Linked DNA regions of Lonchura striata. The protein of the gene in region 2 binds, or shares a complex with, the protein of the main gene of each other region. Links are inferred from orthologs where the notes say so. Each region holds a gene or a part of one and is shown on either strand. Other genes may lie near its edges.

What was found. Proteins that work in one complex are often made in the same cells at the same time.
Region 1: the proteins of BACH1 (region 2) and FBXL17 are in contact, whole or in part, in a cryo-EM structure (PDB 8UAH), measured with the Homo sapiens proteins. The link is inferred for Lonchura striata from reciprocal best matches to the Homo sapiens genes BACH1 and FBXL17. Residues at the interface, in NP_001177.1 of Homo sapiens: Val20, Leu21, Ser23, Leu24, Gln27, Val32, Leu33, Asp35, Phe39, His48, Arg49, Ser50, Val51, Ala53, Ala54, Cys55, Ser56, Ser57, His60, Ser61, Arg62, Val64, Asn72, Thr74, Pro76, His116, Asn117; in NP_001156787.2 of Homo sapiens: Asp395, Arg421, Asn447, Gln473, Gln498, Glu499, Met524, Arg548, Cys574, Leu575, Tyr598, Val600, Ser601, Asp623, Trp626, Met651, Arg652, Val676, Gln678, Asp679, Cys680, Arg682, Thr683, Glu685, Gln689, Trp692.

What each region holds. Positions count from the first base shown.
Region 1 is NC_134642.1:78,994,159-79,001,293, forward strand, and holds the start of FBXL17 (F-box/LRR-repeat protein 17), read right to left. Parts: upstream 3,071-7,135; 5' UTR 3,056-3,070; coding exon 2,321-3,055; intron 1-2,320. UniProt on the Homo sapiens protein: Substrate-recognition component of the SCF(FBXL17) E3 ubiquitin ligase complex, a key component of a quality control pathway required to ensure functional dimerization of BTB domain-containing proteins (dimerization quality control, DQC).
Region 2 is NC_134604.1:4,185,558-4,192,592, forward strand, and holds the start of BACH1 (transcription regulator protein BACH1), read left to right. Parts: upstream 1-3,964; 5' UTR 3,965-4,072; intron 4,073-7,035. UniProt on the Homo sapiens protein: Transcriptional regulator that acts as a repressor or activator, depending on the context. Binds to NF-E2 DNA binding sites. Plays important roles in coordinating transcription activation and repression by MAFK.

The DNA of each region.
Region 1 (7,135 bases), on a different chromosome or scaffold from region 2:
ATGGAATCTCTTGTCCCTGCATTAAGGTTTCTGTGTCCTACACCCACTGTAAAAAGATTTTGGGTATATTTGTCTTCCACCCTCTCATAATGAAATTACACCTTTAGAGAAAGGACTATATTTAGGATATTCTACCTGTATAAAAATCCATCATAAGAAGGCAAATGTAAATCCAGTTGACAGGACACCTGGTTACACATCTGAAGTTAAAAGCTCCATGACAGAGTAGTATATTTTGGAAGCAACCAAAAATCCCAAAGCAATGGAATGGTTAGGAGACAGATATATAGATAAAGACATATATATACATACATACATATACACACACACACACACACACACACATATATATATATATATATATATATATATATATATATATATCTCAAAGAACCCAAAAAACCCAAAATCATAAATTCAACTCATTAGTACATCTATGGATTGGAGGGCAAATTTGTGGGTGAGGGGTGAGTGGGTTGGCTCCTACCAAGATGCTGGAAACAATGGCCTATTTTTTCAGACATTCCAGAAAGAACTGACTACAGGACAACCGTAGAGACAAAATCACTGAGGAAGGTAGATGTCTGTCCTGATTTCAGATAGGATAAAATTCTTCTCAGCTGCTGGTAACAGTGCTTTGTGGCTGGTACAAAACAAATGTTTTGTGCATCACCTGGATCTCTCTTTCTTGTTCTCCTTTTTATATAAACATTTTATACTAATATATGTTAGCATACTTTATTTTTCATCAGTTATTAAACTGTTCTTATCACAACCCACAATGTACACATTTTTCCCCCTGAATTCTACACCCAACCAGTCTGTGGATGTGCTGTGCAAGTGGCTGCCTGGGGTTAAAACAAAACCCCATGTTTGTAAGAAAAAACAACCAAACATAAAACCCCCATAACCTTGAAAACACAGGTAGAAATTAAATAGACACTAAATCACATTTAAACTGGTCCACAGGTAAGATGGACAGGACATCTTTCACTATTAAAGTTATGGCACATCTATAGACACATATTTTTCAAAAAGTGAAACTGAGTACTTAAGAGTAACCACAGAAAAGTATTCACACCATTGATCAAAAAGCATTTCAGCTACACTAACCAAATGAGAACAGTTTCAAATCCCAAAACTAAGTATCAAAGAAAATAGTTATCTTCCAATAACAGTGGCAAACAAATGTTTCCATTCTAGAAGAACTACAAGACAAAGTTTCAATTTTGCAATCACAGATGAGATTAATTCAGATGACAGCTCATGAATTCTTATCTGCCTAGAATTAATTTGCATAGCACATCCATGAAACATTACTGACACGCTTATGAGTATTAAAAAAAAACAAATGAAACCAACAAACAACAGCAAAAAACCCTCAAACCAACTAAACCTCCCACAGAATTAGTGTTATGTGCAAGACAGACAGGTAAGTAGGCTGTTACTGTTTGACAACAAAAGAGTACAGGAAGTACACTAGCAAAACATGAACACCAAGAGTCATGTCTCTCACTCCTGCACTACTGTGTCCTGCTTTAAGTTCAGCCATCTGATCTTTGAGAAACTCCAGCAATCCTGAAAACTTATTCCCAAAATTTAAAGGCACACTAACATCAGACCGTGGAAAACATCACTGGCTCAGTTCCAGCTAGACTCCTCTTTTTAGCTAATGTTTAGTCGAAGTAAGTCAGCAAAGGGGTCAAAAGAGTAGCTTAAAAATGGAAAGTAGTTCCAAAGGAGAACAGTATTCAATGAACAGAAAGAGAGTAAAAGGGACAGGAGAGGTGAGACTTGGACATATGTTCCTTGGACATACAGCGTAAGAGGTTATGAAAGCATGTAATTCAAGAAGGTGGCAAACACTGTGTAACTAGTAAGGCCAAAATTAATCCATAATGCACAGCAATACAAACTGTTTAATAATCAGCACTGAAAACTTGTCTACGTAGCTCCAACACCCAGGGAAGCACTAAATACAGTGACAGGCCCCCTTGGTCAGTACTGCACCAGTGAAGCAAGTAAAAGCCGACTTGTGAAGGGCACCTTACTAAGTTAACGGGTACAGTCAAAACACGTACGAGACAGCTTCTGGAGCTGATTTATGTGTGTGCACCTCCAGGTAACGCCTCACAGCGCCTCTTCCAACGACAAACAACACCCCCAAAGCCGCCCCCCAAAGCCAGGCGCGGAGGCAGCCTCCTCCGGTCCCCCCCGCACTGGGTCTGCCCCGTGTGACAGCGGCGCCCCGGGGCCGGCACAGCCCCTTCTCGAATCCTCAGGGAGAGGGCTGGCCCGTCCACCCCCCATCCAGACCCACCTTGAGGAGGATGGAAGGCGGCAGCTGGTTGATGTCTAGGGTGGGCGGCGGCGGCAGCTCCCGGCAACTGTCGCCGGGGTGCTCCAGCGGCTCCTCGCAGCCCGCCTCGCCGCCCCGCTCCTTCTCCTCCTCCCGGCCCTGCTCCTTCTCGTCCTGCGCCGTGGGAGGCGGTGGCGAGGCGGGCTGTGCCCCGCCGCTCTGCCCGGCTGTGCCCCCGCCGCTCTCCCCCGCGGCGCCGGGCAGGGCGAGCAGCTGCGGCTCCGTCGGGCACTGGCAGGCGCCGGGCTCGGGCTCGGCGGCGGCGCAGCGCGGCTGCTTGCAGGGCGGGCAGGCGGGCAGCCCGGCCCCCTTGCGCTTGCACACCATCTCGGAGGAGACCTCGCCGGGCGGCCCCAGGAGGCCCCGCACCGGCGAGGGCAGCAGGCCGGAGAGGAAGAGGCGCTGGCAGCGGCCCGGAGGTTCCCAGGCGGCGGGCGCCAGGCGCAGGAGGCGGCGGGCCACGCGCTGCTCCGCGGCGCTCAGCGACACGTAGGGCGGCGGCGGCGGCAGCGGGTCCCCGGCGGGCAGCGGCTGCTCCGGGGCAGGCGGGCTGGCGCCGTGAACGATGAAGCAGAGCATGCAGGGCCCGCGCAGGAAGCAGCTCCGGCTGCGCGGCGGCGGCGGCGGCACCTTCCCCCGCGGGCGGCGGCGATCCCGGCTTAGGCTCCTTGCCTCCTTCGAGAGCAGGTGGCCCATATAGGAAGGGAAGCGGCGGCAGCGGAAGGGCGGGTGTCACCTGCGGGAGGCGGCGCCGGCAGCTGACATGCTGCCGGCAGGCCGGGGCAGGAGGCGGCGGCGGGGCTGGTTCCGGGACGCCGGGAGGGAGGGAGGGAGGGAGGGAGAAGCTTCCGCTACCGCCGGCCTGACCTCCCGCGGGAGCGGGGGCGGCGCTCCGCGGGCCGGCGCTGCCGCGGCGGCGGCCGCGCTGGGCCGCTGGAGGCCGGGCCGGGCCCGCCGTGTGACACGAGCGTACGTGCATTGCCACAGAACCGTCAGGGCTGGAAGGCACCCCTGGAGATCATCTCTACCCTCCTGCCGAGGCAGGGTCACCTGGAGCAGGTGACACAGGAGTGCATCCAGGTGGGTTTGGAGTGTGCTCAGAGAGAGAGACGGCACGGCTTACCTGTTCTAATGCTCTGTCACCCTCGACGTGGCGTTCTTGCTGAGGTGGAACTTACTCTGTTTTACTTTATGGCCACTGCCCCTTGTCACTGAAAAGTCTGGCACCGCCGTGTTAGCACCAGCCTTGAAGATATTTATACCCATTACTGAGAACCCCTTCCACTCCTCTCCAAACCAAATGGGCCCAGTTCCTGCAGTTTCCCCTTACAAGAGAGATGCTCCAGGCCCATCATCATCTTCGTGGACCCCCTCCATCATCTGTTGGACCCCCTCCCTTAGGTCATTGCCATATATATATATATATTTACACGTAAGACGTATAAAATACATGCATCTTTTTGAGGAACTGAAATAAAATTTTTTGTGCTACACTTTGTAGGCAAATTTCAGAAGACCCCTTCCCATTGGTCTCAGATTATGTGCAGGACAGTGGCTGAGTTTTTGCAGTGGCAAAGCAACACAAGCTTAGAGACCATCAAGAGCAGTTTTCCAAGCTCTCTTCTGTCAACATAATTTTCCCACCAGCACTTTCCAGAAAATAGTTGTTTTCTGCTGTAATTCATTGTACATCTGGAAACAAGGCTCATATGGGACCTCTGACCCCCTATGCCCTCCTGCAGACACTCACCTCTAACTGCAGTGTGTTGAACCTTGATGCAAGTGCCCTGGTGTGTAAATCCTTGCTGGATGCTGCATTAATTAAGACTCTGCTTAGTGCCTAGCAAAAGCAATTTGTTTCAGCATTCACTTCTAAACAGTTGACTTAGCTGTATAGTCTTAGATATGTAGTTTAAATATATGTGCAATTTTTTCTTTAGTAAAAGGTGTCTGGGGAAGGAGAAGGCAAGTTGCAGCTAGAGTATATATGGCTCAGTACTAATATCAAATAACAAAGGGCAGGAGAAGAAATGCACAGTATTTTATATTGCGTAGCACATGTTTTGGCTTTTTGCCCAGGGACAAGTTATGTTAGGATTAAAATACCCATGCTGCTATTATTTTTGTTTGTTACCTCTATAATTAGTCTTCAGCAGCACTTTAAAAATGTTTCCTATGAGAAAAGTACTAAATATACCTTTGGATAATAGCAGAACAATAGAATATTTTGTTTGGATTTATACTTCAATGGGCTTCATCAATATAAAGCACAGCAAATCTTTACCAAAAGAATTGGCAAGGCCTTTTCAGCTCTGTTGGGAGAATGGGTTGAAAAGCAGAAGGCAGCTGGAAGTAACTCTTGGTAAGACTGTGTGAACAGCAGACCAGTCATCCTCATATATGGACTGAGTTTAACAGTGCCTGCTCTGCACTTGTGTAGCCCAGGTGTTGCTTCAGGGCTCCTCCTGAAACATGATAAGTTAGCACGATAATGTACATAAATTCACTCTTTGTGCCTTAGCCATTGGTTTGTGCCTGTCCCAGCTACCTGCCTGGTGGCTCACACACTCCCTCCTCCCACAGACTGCAAAATTTTATTTCAGTAAGGAAAAACAAAAATAACATTAAAAGAAGATGAAAGTCCAAATCAAATCTTCAAACCAATCAGAACTCAGAATAAATGCTGGCTGTCTTCAACTTCTCCAATGTGTGTCCTTCCCACACACGTTGCAGTACTTCAAAAATTGCTCCAGAGTGGGTTCACAGTTCACGTCAGGAGCTGCTTCCATGGGTCCAGAGCTCGTTTCAGGAGCCTGCTCCAGATTGATGTTCTGATGGGATCATGTGTGCCTTTGGACATCCACCTGCCCGGACATGGATCCTACATGGGCTGCCAGTGGTTCTTTGCTCTGCAGTGGACTCTTCCACAGGTCACGGTCTCCTAGACTCAAGTTCACATTGGAGTTCCAGCCTGTCCAGTATGGCAGCACAGGAGCACAGGCTCCCTCCAGCCCAGGCATTTTGCAATGGCTGTCACCAAAGTGTCCCCAGGCACAACACACTGAGGTGGCTAGCAGTGCAGCCAGCAGCAAAATCAGAGCAGCCACTAACAAACACTGAGTTCCAACAGACAGGAAAGCGAGCCCCATGGGAAGCACAGCAGCCTGCCAATTAATAGCAAAACAGCAGTAACAGCTACAAATTCAATGTAGCACATTCAGTCAAATCTGCCGTTATTTCAACCCTTCATGCACTACACTGTCGCTATAGGGCACGAGAAAGCACAACACGAGCCACCACGATGGCAAGGCAAAAAAGAAGGTTTATTTTCCTGACTCCGACTTTTATACTTATTGTTTTCAAAAGGTGACAGTGGATTGGAGAGTGAATGGGCCACCTCTCCAAACACATTGGACAAACCACCAGTACATCAACTTCCTCCACCCCCACTAAGGAATGCAAAACAATATGTTGTTTATAGAAAATGTGTGGGAAAGTTTTCTAACAGAATGTAAACTCAGAAGGCTTTAGAAAATCTTAAGAATCAGGGTGACACAACACTGGGTGCCAAAACAACTGACATGGTATAACCTCAGCTATTCTTTTTTTCATCTTAATGACTTGTTTTTCTTGAGTTTTATTTCTTCTCTTTTTGTTTCATTTTCATTTTTGTCTTTTCCTTGCAATTCATTATTACTACTACTATTACTATTTCTAACTTATTAAACTGCTGATAATTACCTCAGCCCATGAATTTATTTCTTGGTTTTACACTTCCAGTTCTTTCCCTGTCCCACTAGGGTGGGGGAGTGAAAGGGACTAAGCAGCTGTGTTTTTCTTAGTTGCCAGCTAAGGTTAAACCACAACAAGCGTGTTTGTTGTAAGCATATTTGGTATGATTATTTTCCCTTCAAGCAGATTACACAGTTACAGAATCCATTAGTTTGGAAAAGATCTCTGAGATCATCAAATACAACTTTTTACCAAACACCACTATATCAACTAGACCACGGCACTAAGTGCCACATCCAGCTTTTCCTTAAACACCTCCAGGCATAGTGACTCCACCACTTCTCTGGACAGCTCATTCCAAGGTCTAATCACCTTTTCTGTGAAGGAATTCTTCTTAGTGTCCAATCTAAATCTTACCTGATGCAGCTTAAGACTATGTCCTCTTGTCCTGTAACTGGTTCCCTGGGAGAAGAGATCCCACCTGCTACAGCCTTGGGTCAAGGAGTTGCAGGGAATGATAAGGTACCCCCACCCCAGCTCTCCTTTTTTCCAGGTTAAATACACCCAGATCTTCATCTGCTTGTCATCAGACTTGTGCTCCAGACCCTTTGCCAGCTTTTTTCCCTTCTCTGGACATACTCCAGCCTCTCAATGTTGAATTGAGGGACCCAGAGCTGGATACAGCACTCACAGTGCTCACAGTGTGATCTCACCGGTGCCCAGCCCAGGGGGATGGTCACTGCCCTGCTCCTGCTGCCCCACTGTTGTTGATACAGCCCAGGTGTCCTTGGCCTTCTTGGCCACTTGGGCACAGCTGGTTCATATTCAGCTGCTGTCTACCAGGACCCCCCAGGTGCTGTATAAACACGGAGCTCTGCCCCAGCGTGCAGCAATGTGGGGGTTTTTGTGGTCTTGCTGAACCTCAGATCATTGGCCTCAACCCATCAGTCCAGCTTTCCAGATCCCTCTGCAGAGACTTCCTGCCTTGTAGCAGACCAACACACCCACCCAAACTGGTGTTGCCTGAATTTGCTAATGGTAGAT
Region 2 (7,035 bases):
TGCCACAGGGACTTAATTCAACCAGAGCCCTCCCAGGTGTGATCCCACAGCAGGACTCGAGGCTGGAAACGCTCATCAAGCCCTGCATGACATATTTTGGGCTCCCCACATGTACCTGCATTTCCTCACAGGGTTCAAGAGAGCTGCTGGGTGAAAATTCCTGGTCTGGACAGCCTGGCTGCAGTAATTTCACCTCCTGAACACCTCTGGTCTTCTCCCAGATCCATCAGCTCAGGCATTGCTGTTTGACAAAATTACAGCCACTGGCAGTGTTTACTCCAAGCTTCCAGGAAGCAAATCTATTTTTCATTAATAAATAATTTTCCTCATTTAAGTATTCTTAGGAGGCTTTTTTAGCTATCCTGCTGCAATTCTCATTCTTTGGTCTTTTCATACAGCTCGTGCAGCCTATCTAAGCAGAACTCTTATTTTCCACAGCTAGCCCCTTTGTTTCCCACCTTTTTGCCATTGTTTACACATGGTTTATATCCCTTCTCGCAGAATCAAAAATAATTCTCATTCTATTAAAGAAAAGAAGCCCCTTTTTTTCCCATTGAAATATTACTGCTTAATTTAAGGATGATGGTTTTAAAAATTATATCTAGAGAGGAAAAAAAAGGGACACCAATTTTCATTTTATGTGAGTCTGGACCATATTAGCAGTAGGTTTAAGAGAATTAAAATTACAATTGCATTTTAAAAGATAGTTTACTAGAACAGGATTTACTTCTAGATAGAAAGCATTTTTTTCTCATTTTTTGTAAAGAGGGAATGTAAAAATATTTTCCTATGATTAACACCATGCTTTCCCAGGACAAACAAAAGACTTTTGTAAGCCAGAAACCACAAAAAAATAAGCATGTGTGTTCCCAAGGATTAGAACAGTATTACACACATACAGCAGAAGACGGTATGGAAATAAATTCTAAAATAATGTGTTCAAAGGCTTCAAAAACCATTTTAAAATAAGAGTCAGTTTTTCACCTCATACATATTGACACAGCCCTGAGGTTTCAATCACTTAGACACATACCACAGTAGCTCCTTGATAGCTCAATTTACAGTTAGAAAATGTTATCTAAATGTAGATTAGAAAACAGCTTTTGTGTTTGCAAGTTCACAGGAGGGAGTGGTTTGGCTTTCATTTATTGGAATGTAAAATGGACGAATTTTATATATGATGCCTACAGAAGTCATATTTAATGTGGCCACATGTGCAACAGGGTTGTCAGCCCCTGTGAAACTAGAAGATGGGCTTTGAACATTAATTTTTCCTAACGATTCCCCAGCACTTTTGCTGTGAAGGATTCTGATGGCAGCATCCTGCAGAACTATGTGGCCATAGGTTTAATCTGGGAGCTATGTCTGTGGCCTGACCCAGTTAGACACATTTCCACCCAAAAGCATGGGACAGGCATCTCCAAAAGGAGTTTCACCACACCTGTCTCAGACAGCAGCCACAGAAAGGGAAAAATTACCCCATGGAGATGCCTGACTAATTAAAGTCCCATTAATGCCACCAATGTATCAGAAAAAAAAAAATCTATTGAAAAAAAAAAAAAAGACATTTTCCCTTCCTTTCTTCTGGTAATATTGTTATTATTTGTTATCATGCACGCTAACTTGTGAGCATTTGTCACCTAAGCTTTTATATTGTTTTAAATGCTTAAAGCATTTGTTATTCATCTGCAGGAAGATGTATGTCCTTGATGTTTAGCTTAGATTCCCAGATCTCCTTTTTAATGGTTTTACTTCTTCGTTTTAGGAAAAAAAAATGGGACTTTGGTTTTTTGTATTTTTCCTCTTCTAGTTGTGTCTAATTTCAACGCAGGAAGTACTTTTGCAGCTCTTCAGTCTGACTGTGAGTGAGAACCAAGCTATTACACTGTAACTTCACTCCCTATTGTGTGGGAAGCAAGAATTGCATCATCCCTAGGATCCAGAACAGGAGATGAAGATCCCTTCTTGGTGGGTGCGGTCCATGATTTTGTAGTCAATCTTTCAACCAAAGTAAGAGCTCCTTTTGTTTTTATTCATTTCTTCCCTCTTCTGTTTTCCTCTCTTCCCCATAAAACTCCTTGTGAAAGACAAAAAAAAAAAAAAAAAAAAAAAAAAAAAAAAAAAAAACAAAACAAAAACTTTCAGTCTAGTAGTAGGCATTTTAAATTTTATGCTTAAACATTGTAAATATCTCACACTTCTGCAACTCAGTTTTTACCATCTAAGCAGTTGTCTTTATTCCTCTCTTCAGGTGTGATTATTGGGGCATTAGGAATTCCCAACAGATGTTAACAGCATGACAACAAGTCATGGAAAACATAAAAAGCAGGCATAGAAACTTTGATTCAGAGTACCTCAAGTATTGTTAGTACCCAAACTATAGACAAATGCTACTTTTTGGATATCATTAGCTAACAGCTGCTCTTAAATTTAAATTCCAACAAATTGCTTAAGTTATTTTGTGATGCAAGTCTTTGTTCTGGTGAATACGTTGACCAACTCATAAACACAAGTAATTAAATTCTGCCTTCTTAACAAGGTGGAAGGCCATTAGCAAATAGACATTGAAGGAAAATCTATATTAGGCTGTACTAAAACTGAAAGCCTACTGTAAAAACAGCTGAAGAAAGTTATGGACACTTAAATACCCGTAAAACAGTGTGTCATTTAAAAAAAATCATTCAAAGGCACACTAAATTATTAAACTGGGTTAAAATATCTTAACAATTAAGTTCCCATTAGCAGTCTTGGCAGTGCATTCATTGGTTGTCATTAGTGTTTTATGCAGGAGCTTCTGAAAGAGGCTGGTGCCTTTGGATAAAGAGGTACGTGGATTTGGGAGGGAGACGAGGGAGAGGAGGGAAAGGAGGGAGAGGAGGATGAGGAAGGTGATGAGGGTGAGGAAGGTGATGAGGGTGAGGAGGGAGAGTGAGGAAGGTGAGGAGAGAGAGGAGGGAGAGAAGGGTGAGGAGGGAGAGGAGGGAGAGGAGGAAGAGGAGAGTGAGGAGAGAGTGAGGAGAGAGAGAGAGGAGGGGAGAGCAGGGGTGAGGAGGGGTGAGGAGTGTGATGAGGAAGATGAGGAAGAGGAGGGAGAGAAGGGGTGAGGAGGGAGAGGAGAGTGAGGAGTGTGATGAGGAAGAGGAGGGAGAGGAGGGAGAGGAGGGAGAGGAGGGAGAGGAGGGAGAGGAAGGTGAGGAGGGAGAGGAGGGAGAGGAAGGGTGAGGAGGGGTGAGGAGGGGTGAGGAGGAAGAGGAGAGTGAGGAAGGTGACAAAGGTGAGGAAGGAGAGGAGGGAGAGGAGGATGAGGAAGGTGATGAGGGTGAGGAAGGTGATGAGGGTGAGGAGGGAGAGTGAGGAAGGTGAGGAGGGAGAGGAGAGAGTGAGGAGGGGAGAGGAGGGGTGAGGAGGGTGAGGAGTGTGATGAGGAAGATGAGGGTGAGGAGGAAGAGGAGAGTGAGGAAGGTGAGGAGGGTGAGGAGGGAGAGAAGGGAGAGGAAGGTGAGGAGGATGAGGAGGATGAGGAGGGAGAAGAGGGAGAGAAGGGAGAGGAAGGTGAGGAGGGTGAGGAGGGAGAAGAGGGAGAGAAGGGAGAGGAAGGTGAGGAGGGTGAGGAGGGAGAGAAGGGGTGAGGAGGGAGAGGAGAGTGAGGAGTGTGATAAGGAAGAGGAGGAAGAGGAGGAAGAGGAGGGAGAGGAGGGAAGGTGAGGAGAGGTGAGAGAGGAGGAGAAAGGAGGGGTGAGGAGGGTGAGGAGTGTGAGGAGAGTGACGAGGACCCGTCGCTCTGCAGCCGCCCCGCGCGCCGGCGGGGCCGCGCATGCGCGGCGGCGCGCGGCGGCGTGGGCGGCCGCGCGTCGGCGGCGAGCGCGGCGTCCAATGGGCGCGCGGGGCGTGCGCGGGGCGTGCGCGCGCCGGGGGGGGGCGGGCGGTCACCTGACGCGCGCGCCGCAGTCGGGCCGCAGCCGCAGCCGCAGCCGGAGCCGGGAGCGGCGGGGCCCGGGCGGGACGGGACCGGACCGGCTGAGGCGGCAGCGGTGCTGCCGCTGCCCTCCGGCCCGCGGCGGCGGGCACCGAGGTAACGCCGAGCCGGCCGCCGGCGGGAGCGTGCGCCGCGAGGGGCTGGCGGCGGGGGCGCTGAGGCGGCGGGGCGGGGGTCGCAGCGCGCCCGCGGGGCCGGGGCCGGCGGCGCGGCCTTCTCCCGGGGCGGGGCGGTGGCGGAGGCTCCGGCAGCGGCGGCTTTCCCTCGGCGGCGGCTCGCTGAGGGTGTCGCCCCTTCCCCCGAGACCTCCCGGCTCGGTGCCCCGGTTCGCAGGGCTGCCCCCGCCGCGCTCCCGGCTCTGCGAAAGGGCCGGCTCGGCCCCGCCGGGGGCTCGGCCGCGCTGCCGGGCTCAGGCGTGCAGCCGGCGCTTGCTTCCCTTTGGGGGCAGCCGGCGAAGGTCTGCTTTGGACTGTAAACAACGAAATACAAACCCTGTCCCTCCTGCTCGGTGCGCTGAGATCCTTCGCGTGTTTTGGGGCTCGGTGGAAAGGTGGTAATCGCAAAAGAGCAGTTATCTATTTTAGCCCGACAGTAATCCCAAAATCATCTGCAGCTCGGTCTTCCAAATCTTTATTAAACTAAAAAAGGAGGGAGAAAGTGTTCTAGCACTGGAGCTGTATGTCGAGTGAATTTTGACAGGTTAATTTGAGGCACTTGAGGAAGGCAGTTTCTCCGTGTTGAAATACACCTGTCTGCAGTAATGGAGTAATTGCCATCCAGAAGCACTGTAAATTAAGGTGATGCAGCACTCTGAATGCTCTAGCATATAGAGTTGGCTCTTTAATCTCAAATATTGCACCTCACAGCAAGAAAAGAAAGGAGTATATTGCTGTCAACATGATGAGTATGAATTAGACCACAAAATATGGTTTGTAATGCGAGTTTAACTTTAAAGATTACTTAAATAGCATAATTACTCTTGGATGCCCTAACTCAAGTGAGTAAGCCTTGTATGTACCTTAGCAAGCAGTGAGGCCCAAACCAGAAAGATTTGCAGGGAGAAACAGTTGTCACTGGTAACTGAATACCCGCTGTGTTTTTCAGAAGGATTCTAAATCTCTTAGTATTTGACATTCTTGAGAACTTCTAGAGTGTGTTTTCCAATTTACTTTAAAAAAAGAGCCTACTATTGTTGTCTGGGTTCATCTTGTGATGTGAATGAAAGCATGATAAATGGGGTGTTAGGGAAGTTTGCTTCACTAGCACGCTCCTGATTTTAACCAAAATGCTGAAGTACAGCTTTAGCTTCCATCAGCTGTATCTTTTGAGTTTATGTGTAAAAATATGGAAGATCTGAATGTGTTAAATGTTTAATTGCTTTTAATCGGTTCTAATATTCTTATGCAAAGGATACTTCGAACACTATTAATTTTTTTATTGTAGAAATGGTCTAGTGTTAAAACCCATACCCTTTACCTGATCCTTTGGATCAGGTGGGCACTCTTGTTAGGTGTAGAATAGACAGGTCTTTGCACATGAGTTCTGTAAGTCCCAAATAACTCTGCCCTATGGTTCAGGGAAACGCAGCTCAACAAGTCTCCTTGTCATTATCATCCCCACCTTCCAAGTTTGATCATCAGTGTATTTCTTTAAACACTTAATGGGTTTTCTTTTAACCATAGTCCTCTCTTTTTGCACTGGGCATGCTGGTGTGGAGGCAAAGAAGAGTGGCAGATCAGTTTGAGTCTGAATGCTGGGATTTTAATTGTCCTGTAGAATTCAACCACTGAAAGTTTCATGGGGGAGGTTCTGGGGAGTAGGAGACAACACTGTGGTATTCATAATGTGAGTCCTGTTTATATGTAGTCCTTAGTTGAACCAGAGGTGGTGTGTTAGTTGATGCAAGTGTGGGTAGGAACAAAACATTGACTGAGCCAAAATTAACTGCTGAACCAATCATTAAGTCGTGCAGATTCAGCCTAGTGTGACCACAGTGGGGATAATGTGTGACGATCCACCTGCAGATTTCCCTGCCCACACCTCTAGTTCAGAAGTAAGCAGTCTGGAGAGGGGACTAAAAGTGATGGAAAGGCTTATTTGGCTGTAACAAATCAAAGACTGCATCACAAGTCACTCTGTTTCCAGTAGTATGCAGTGTTTTTTGGTTAAGTCACTCTTAAGGATGGAAGGAAGTTTTGTTCTTGTTAAGTATGAAGGGAAAATGTAGTATTTGGTATAAAAGTGAGTTAGAATGTCAGAATAAGGCTCAACTGACCAATCAGCTACTGAAGCTTTAAAAAGGGGAAAGTGTGTTGTGAAGGGTAAATTAACTGTAGAAGCATTGTTGAAATACAAATAAATTGAGTTTAATTATTAAACATACATTGGAGAGTGTAAGAGGTGTAGCCTAGGGTATCAGTAACTAAATGTCTTTAAATGAGAGCCTGTGTCTTAAAGAATATTTAATTAATGTTAGAAATTGTGTTTAGATACTTTGTGAATGACTTTATTTGAGCTGTCAACATAATGTTTGTAGGTGTTTGGATTCCAGTCTTGGCCCATTGACAAATACTATGATAAGTAAATATATGGCAGTTGCTTGCCCTGTTCATGCTGCTTTTAAGGTCATCAAATCACAGAATCCTGGAGTGGTCTGCATTGGAAGGGACCTTAAAGATCATCCATTTCCAACCCTCTGCCACGGGCAGGGACAGCTTCCACTAGAACAGGTTGATCCAAGTCCCGTCCAACCTGGCTTTGAGCACTTCAGAGATGGGGCAGCCACAGCTTCTCTGGGCAACCTGTGCCAGGGCCTCACCACCCTCACAGAACAGATTTTTTCTAATAGCTAAGCCTGCCTTCTTTAAATTTGAAACCATTCCTCCTTGTCCTGCCAGTCCAGACCCTTGTCCAGAGTTTCCCTCCAGCTCTTGGAGCCCCTTTGGGCACTATCAGGGTCTCTAAGGTCTCCCTGGAGCCATCTCTTCTCCAGGATGAGCACCCCCAGCTCTCCCAGCCTGTCTCCAGAGCAGAGGGGCTCCAGCCCTCAGAGCATCTTC